2 linked regions of the Danio rerio genome follow. The protein of the gene in region 2 purifies or fractionates together with the protein of the main gene of each other region. This does not show direct contact. Links are inferred from orthologs where the notes say so. Each region holds a gene or a part of one and is shown on either strand. Other genes may lie near its edges.

Region 1 (4,346 bases), on a different chromosome or scaffold from region 2:
CTGCTGCTTCCCCTGCTGGGACTCGTCCTTCTTCTTCAGGTAGGGCTCGATGGATTTATACTGGGCGTAGAAGTTGCTCATGTCCTGCAGGGGGCAGAGCGGTGTGTTATTAACCAGGATTACTCTGCTCAGGGGTCTTATTGCTCAATAATACTGACGATGAAGAAACTCGGGTCAGAAACGTGTGTTATTGTACTCACGGGCACCAGGTCCTTCACCACATACATGTGCGGCAGCGGGTAGATCTTGGTCACCTTGCTGGTGTTGGTGTCGATCTTATTCAAACACGCCAATGTGTTTCCACCGTTGATGTTCATAGCACACGAGCCACAGATGCCTGAGGAGCACAACACACGCTGATCAGAGCGACACACTCCAACACTGCTTACTTACACACACACACACACACACACTTGAACACTGCTTACTTACACACACACACACACACACACACACACACACACTCCAACACTGCTTACACACACACACACACACACACACACACTCACACTCCAACACTGCTTACACACACACACACACTAACACTCACACACACACACACTCACACTCCAACACTGCTTACTTACACACACACACACACTCACACTCCAACACTGCTTACACACACACACACACACACACACTCACACTCCAACACTGCTTACTTACACACACACACACACAAACACTCACACACACACACTCGAACGCTGCTTACCCTCTCTGCAGGAGCGCCGGAAGGTCAGTGTGCTGTCCATCTCATTCTTGATCTTGATGAGTGCGTCCAGAACCATCGGCCCACACCTAACAGACACACACTACAGTAACTACAGACACTCAGACTCAAACCACAGACCCTCAGATTCAGACTCTCAGACTCAGGGTGCTTTCAGACCTAAACGTGTCTCGATTGCCCAGTTAGCGCGGTTCGTTTGGCATATGTGAACAGGGCAATCGCGCTCTGTTCCGCGCCAAAGTAATCGCTCTGAGATCGCTTGAGTGAGGTGGTCTCGGCTCGATTGAAACGAACCCTGGAGCGGATCGATTGCAGTGAGAAAGTGATTCGATCTGAGCGCGGTTATATCACAGTGTTTTATGGATATGTAATAGGCTTACGGCTATATGAAGAGAGAATTATGAGTATGGCGGGAAGTTTCGCGAGTCTCCGGATGCCCGCAAACGAGTGATGATCTCCCGGTAATCTCGCTTCTCCCTCCCAGTCCTCAAATAGGCATCGTCGCGCACCCTTCTCACCCTCCCCACCGCATCTCTCCTCAGACACATCGCGTGCACCCTGTCAATCACCACCAAACCACCACCTCTCCTGACAGCTGAGCGGGACGCTGCAAAATAAACCCTGACACTCTGACCAATGTGAGGAGAGTTTACTCACACGTGACTTGTTTTAGCTCTTTTGGAAAGAAACTTTGCAGTGTGAAAGCGAACCGCTCCAAGAGCAAAGAGCAACACTGTAACAATTATAATCTCTGTTTCAGAACAACTGAATCCATTCACAGGTGTGAACGCAGCCTCAGACTCAGACACTCCTGAACAGACGCCTGCAGCTCCACTCACGTGTTCAGGTCGATCTCGTATGTCTGCATGCGAGGTTTGTCTCCGACTGTGTCTGGATCCCAGCGATAAATCTGGAACTTCTTGATCCTGGGCTGAGCTGCAGGAGCTGCTGCTGTCTGCGCGAACCGCACCGCCTGAAACACACAGACACACACACACACACACACACACACACAGAGAGAGCTTCAGACTCCACTTCTTCTGGTTTAACAGCGAGTTCTGGCCCAAACCATGTTCTACCCCCATGATAAGAGCGTGTATTCTGCTTCTCCATAATGTTGGATGTGGATTGGCATGTCCTCCTCATACACATGTAAACAGCTTTATCCTTGTCTTGTTTCTCTCTTTGAGCTAGCAGGATTTGAACGCGGGTAACATAAGACAGTCCAGTGATGTCGTTTCGAACATGTTTAATAACAACTTAACTGAACTACATTACACGCTCAAAAAACTGTCTCGCTTCCATCTCCATGACACAACTTCTTCCTTCCCGGAAGTGACATCAGCATATACTTAATATTAAAAATTAAATTACTTTTAGGAAAATATTTTGCTTTTTACATTATTGTCAATTTAACATAAATAAAACAATGAACTTACGGCTCTTATAATCCTCTTCCATTTAGGCTGTTAACTCTTATAATAGTGTTGACCTTCATGACATAAGTCCCGATTGCAGAGGGAAATGGTCACACTGCTGACCTCTAGTGTTCACACACAGAATCACACTCTCGTTACATCACTGACCCAGCTGACAGTTACCAAACACACACTCAAAACCGCACACACACTCTGTCAGAACACTCAGATCAGCATCAGATCAGCTCTGGACACTGTACACCTTCACATTATAAACAGCAGCAGCACTGCAGTGTTCTGTGACATATACATGATGACACACACACACACACGCGCTCAGTCAGCGTTATATAAAGCAGATACTGTCATTCCTCCATCATAATGGCGCAGCACTTCACTATAAACACACTCATACACCGCATTATTCTCCGATATTTCCGCTCATCCGCGCCGGTGAGTTTGACGACAGTACTCGTAGAGCTGGACTTCGGCTTCTGTGTGTCAGTCACGTGTCATGATCGGTATCAGACGGGTTATTGATGAGCGGTGGTGATCGATTATCAGTGCAGATCAGGTGTGGAACTCACCGTGACGGCGGGCCGGTGAACAGCAGAGCAGCAGCGGCTCAAGGAGAAACACACAGCCGCCATGTTGATCAGTCTGACTCTCTGCTCCAACACTCACTGCGCATGCGCCTCAAATCACGCACTCCGCCGCCCACAGAGACTGCGCACTGCAGAGGGCGCTCACTACGCTTTTAAACACAGCCCACGAGTGATCCTGCGCTATATAAGCGCATATTTTATCTTATAATAATATAAATGTCGGCATTTCTGTCATTCGTTTACTACTAATGATAATAATCATAATAATAAGCGCTGTGTTTGTTTCCAACAACATGCGTGACAAATCTTCAGAAACATGATACAGTTTATTACAGGAAACCGTCATGTTCCTCTGTGGAGTTTAAAAGCCCAAATATAATGTTTTCATCTGCATGGCAAATCATCATCATTTTTATTATGCTTTAAACAACAGATACATGACAATACAGTAAACAAAAATGCCAAGGGGGTAGAAAGTCAATAATAACAGCACAAAAGGAGATCTTCATCATAAGCGTTTACTATAAACTTTTACTTTGTCACTCTGATGAGGCACGCATGCGCCGGATGTGACGTCGCGTCACCGGCGACTCCAGAAAGCGCACGAGAGATTGAGGTCACACATGAAGCGTCAGTTCACACACACTTGCTGAAACTCGGGGATCGATCACACTGATTGATCATCATGGTGTTCCTCACGCTCTCCTGCTGGATCCGGAACCGCGGACCCGACCGATACTGGAAGGTGCAGGAGCTGCTGAAGAACGCGCGGGTGAGTCTCTCTCTCTCTGTGTGTGTGTGTGTGTGTGTGTGTGTGTGTGTGTGTGTGTGTGTGTGTGTGTGTGTGTGTGTGTGTGTGTGTGTGTGTGTGTGTACCCCTGTTATATACTATAGTCATTTACAGAAAATACCTCAGTGTGTCTGAACACAACAGTTAAGTGTATTATACTGTATATGTTACCGACAGCCCTGTTAGTCAATGCTCCAGCAGACTGCAGTGTTCACTATAGGGAACTGATAAACACTGCAGTGTACTAGTGTTTACTGCAGTAAACTGTGGAGTATAGCAGTGTAATATACCCTACAGCTGTCGACAACTACACTACTGGATCATTTGTTTATATTATTATAGTTGTTGTGTTACCATAGCAACTGTAGAATCACCACAACAGATCAGTTACTATATTCGTCGTGTTACCATAGCAACTGTAGAATCACTACAACAGATCAGTCACTATAGTTGTGTTACCATAGCAACTGTAGAATCACCACAACAGATCAGTTACTATAGTTGTCGTGTTACCATAGCAACTGTAGAATCACCACAGCAGAGTAATTGGTCTGCTTTACTGTAGCGTGGTTGTAAGCGCTACAGTCTGCTCTGCGTATGGTTGTTATGGCGTGTGTGACTCTGTTGTGTTTCTGCAGCATTTCCGCGGCAGGAAGAGCCGCTGCTACAGTCTGGCGGTGCGTGCGGTGCGCAGGGCCTTCGTTTACGCCAGCAAAGCACGGAAAGCCAAGAGACGCAGCATGAGACAGGTATAACACACGACACACACCTGCCTGAGCTGCAGGGGGACAGACGTG
Region 2 (4,324 bases):
TTAATGATTAGTTTTGTTTAATGATCTCATAATGAGAGATTACATATATTGTTGAATTTTTAAAGATGTTTTTGTGACATTTCTATTGTGTTCGTAAATCAGTTCTGTTCTCTTGTTTTTCTTGAGCAATTATTGACATTTTTTAGCATAAGCTTAAAACTTATACAATGCTCAGCATAGTCGAGTATACCCCATTTCGAAAGTGAATAATTTTATCCATTTCTCAGTAAAATATAGGCATGTATTTTGGTGCATTTAAACAAAAAAGATTTATTAAACAGATATATTTATTAAAGTAATATTTTAGTTACCAAACATATTTAGAAATTAAAAGATAATACAATTAAATAAAAAAATACAACCTACAAAATTTCAACTAATCCTTTTAAATAATTTTGTTTTTGTTTTTCTTGTTTTTTCCTCTTTTTTAAATTTGTATTTAATATTTTTTTATAACATATACATTTGGGTGTACTAGTTTTTACGACGGTTATCATAAGTTATCCTGTTAGATAAGCTCAAGATTTGGTTCCAGTACTGGCTAATCTAATGTATATGCACAAATACAATATTGTATAGCTTCTTAATAAAAATATGAATTTAAAAAGTAGATTTGTGAGTGGGTGTACTTATATCTGCTGAGCACTACACTAGGCATGGGACAATAACAGTTTTCAAGGTATACCGCGGACTGAAAAAGTCAAGGTTTTAAAAAAACATTCATAAGGTATATGTGTAAGATTTTTTTTAATGTTTATTTGTTGTTTTTTAGGACAACAGTATCTCCAGCAGCAACGATATTCAAAGATGTCATTTTAAAAAGTGAAAAATCTGTGTTTTTGAAAGTAATAAAGACAGCAGAAGTCAATGAGTGATTTGAATTATTATCAAATTAAAATATATTGTGTTCAAAGGGGATAAAAGTTGTCATTTTTTTATACCCAGACATTTAAAAAGAACATATTTTAGAGAGGACTCACAATATCGTGAAACCATGATATTATTATCCAAGGTTATCATACCGTCAGAATCTTTTACCGGTCCATGCCTACTGTATACATAAAAAAGTATACAATTTAACATTATATTGAAACATCTGTTTATATTTTCCTAAAGAACTAACCACAGTTCTGTGTTATTGAATCAGAAAAATATCAATCAGTAAACGTATTTTTATATTTTAAATGAGAGAAATAAACATGTGTTATGAATGTGACCAAAAAAGTCTGCGAGTTTACAGTATAGAACATATTTTGTTGAAATTCTGTGAATTAAACCGCACAACCCAAAATAAATAATGCTAATCAAAAAGATAAGAGTTGGCTGCAAGAACAAACATTATTGATTTTGTTTTATTTTACATTTTTTTGTATTCATGAGAAAAAAAAACTTCGTTATGGATGTGACAGATGTGTAACTGCCACTTTTGTGATTATGGTAAATTAAATATAAATGTTTGAAAACACTGCCAGAGACATGTTTGAGTATTTTATTGTAAAATAAAAGCCTGCACAAAAAAAAAACGTAGAAAGGGTTTCGCTATTTTGGTGAAATTTATTTTTAATGCCAAGGTTGACAATTGCATGGAATTGCTCTCATTTTGTTAACTTCATTTTCAAATATAAAGATAAAAACATATCCAGGAAACTTTTTAGCAGTTTTGGTGCAAATTTTGGTGAGCGACAAATTGCACATATAGAGGTAAAGTTGGTTTTATATTCGCACATTCAGACTTTCCCCTTAATAATAAAATTTCTTTTAAGTATTATATGCAAACTCCAAACAGTGAAATTATATCAGCAGCCAATGACTATCAAAGTACAACATTGTTCACAGTGAAATAAACAGTCTTAATGTTGTTTTCAAATAATATTTGCATGCCAATTCCGATCGAATATTCAAAGTAACATGGTAAATAATATAGAGACTTCTAAATGAACGAATGTGTGAATGTAAAACCAACTTTACCTCTAGTTGGCACATGGCACTGTTCACACTTAATCAAATAAACTGTGATAATAAGTTTATTAGGTCTTAAATTAATAATTAATAGGTCTTTTAAAAACTAATTAATCAAACCAAAATCTACTAAGTTAGTATAAAAGTTCATTCACACTACAGGTGCTTTTCCCATTGGTCAATTTTGAAAATCTGATATCTTTCATAACATCTTTTTTTTTCACTAATAAACATATAAATATTTAAGTATTTTACACTTGATCTATTTGTATTGTATTGAGTGAAACAAATGATATTTTGTGGTATATGTGTTTATAGTTGAACATGACTGTAGATTTTAATTCAAGGAACTATCCGGAGAAAATCATTTTGGGCATAATAGGCCATTTCACTTCAATCAATATTCTGAAGTTTTTTCTTTTTACAAACAATTCCCCTGATTTATATAGCACTTATTTATTTGTTTTGACCTTTTTATGTGGAGTGATGAGAAACAAAGGAGACAAGAATTGTGAACCAAAAATTGCATTACCTAAAACATAATTTTTTTTTTAATTATAACCTTAATAATTCAAAATTTAGTAAAAACATGTTATATGTAGTCTCTCAATTATTATGATGAAGCACAATGATTAACGTTAGTAAACAATTCTGATGGCATGTCATGTCAACACCAAACACTCTTAGCACACTATACTTCACATACAAATAAACAAAGGTAGCTAACGTTAATAAACGACACTTTACCTTGTCAGTTACAGCGCTTAATTTCATTCATTCCTTGTCAGCTGTATATGTTTAAACTTAAAATAGAGGTCTTCTACACAACGACCGCAGCAGTCACAAAAATATGACCTGTGTTTCCTAACTCATGCTGTGACGTTATGAAATGCAGTAATAGTCAGATATACTGACATCTAGTGGTCAGGCTGAACAGCAACACAATCAACAAAGACCAGCCAAAGTTCAGAGTTTATCCTTTATTTAGATATAAATAGACTATAACAGCAGGCTATACCAAGTTATTAAAGTCTATGTTGCGACTGCAAAATACATATATTTTATATTTACTATTGGATTACAAAACAGACACGTTCACATTTTCAAGACATTAATAAGTCGAGTTTTTCAGTCAAATCTGTGTCGAGTCTAAAGTCCTTGTGTTCATTTTATTATAACAGTACATGCTACAGACTAACTTAATGCAGCATATTTAATATACAGTGCTCAGCATATATAAGTACATCCCCACAAATCTCTCATTTAAATGTATATTTTCTATAGGATGCTTTACAATATTATAATTGTGTGATTAGTCAGTACTGAAGCCAAATCTGAAGCTAATCTAACAAAATAACTTATAATTATGGTTCGAAAATTAGTAGCCAAATGTATATGTTAGAGAAAAATATTAAATTACATTTTTAAAAAATCAAGAAAAACAAAAAATAGAAAAGATTTAGTTGAAATGTTGTAGTCTGTACTTTTTTTTGCAATATTTTGCATAAATTTAAATATATTATCTTTCCATTTATAAATATGTTTTTTGACTAAAATAATAATATATATGTTTAATAAATTTGTTTATTCAAATACACATATATATAGTACCCATATTCACTGAGAAATGGATATTTATTTTAAAACATTCATGCTGAGCACTGTATGTTAATTGTGTATTGCTAAAGTGTTTTCCTGAACATTAACTAATGCTTATCTATAACATTTTGAATTAATGGTCCATAAGTGCTAAGGAGTCTAAAACATTTATTTAAAAAAACACAAATAATAATAATATAAAAAAATATTACTGCTTCAAATAAAAAAAGTTAAATTGGATTACAATAATCTAATAAATATAAAATATATAGATAAAATAAATAATAAATTAAGAAAATTTTTAAATCAACTATTGCTTAGAATAAAAAAAGGATTAAGGTAAATAAATAAACAATGTTCAAACAAATCAGTAAAATTAATATTTGAAAAAATTACTAAGTAAATAAATTTGTCCAAAAATGTATAAATACGACAACATGGTGGCATAGTGAGTAGCACATTCACCTCACAGCAAGAAGGTTGCAGGTTCGAGCCTCAGCTAGGTCAGTTGGCGTTTCTGCGTGGAGTTTGCATGTTCTCCTCGTGTTTGCATGGGTTCCCTCAGATGCTCCGGTTTTACCCACAAGTCCAAAAACATTTGATATAGGTGAATTGGGTAGGCTAAATTGTCCTTAGTGTATGTGTGTGAATGAGTGTGCATGGGTGTTTCCCAGTGATGGGTTGCGGCTGGAAGGGTATCCGCTGCAAAAAACATGTGCTGGATAAGTTGGCGGTTCATTCCGCTGTGGCGACCAAGAAATAATAA

Evidence for each region.
Region 1: the proteins of sdhaf1 (region 2) and sdhb purify together in Homo sapiens (co-immunoprecipitation; 3 studies listed by BioGRID and IntAct, with this or other methods). This does not show direct contact. The link is inferred for Danio rerio from reciprocal best matches to the Homo sapiens genes SDHAF1 and SDHB.

What each region holds. Positions count from the first base shown.
Region 1 is NC_133197.1:261,263-265,608, reverse strand, and holds the start of sdhb (succinate dehydrogenase [ubiquinone] iron-sulfur subunit, mitochondrial precursor), read right to left. Parts: upstream 2,817-4,346; 5' UTR 2,805-2,816; coding exon 2,742-2,804; intron 1,710-2,741; coding exon 1,576-1,709; intron 805-1,575; coding exon 719-804; intron 338-718; coding exon 201-337; intron 85-200; coding exon 1-84. UniProt on the Homo sapiens protein: Iron-sulfur protein (IP) subunit of the succinate dehydrogenase complex (mitochondrial respiratory chain complex II), responsible for transferring electrons from succinate to ubiquinone (coenzyme Q).
Region 2 is NC_133196.1:22,794,689-22,799,012, reverse strand, and holds the start of sdhaf1 (succinate dehydrogenase assembly factor 1, mitochondrial), read right to left. Parts: upstream 2,846-4,324; 5' UTR 2,707-2,845; intron 1-2,706.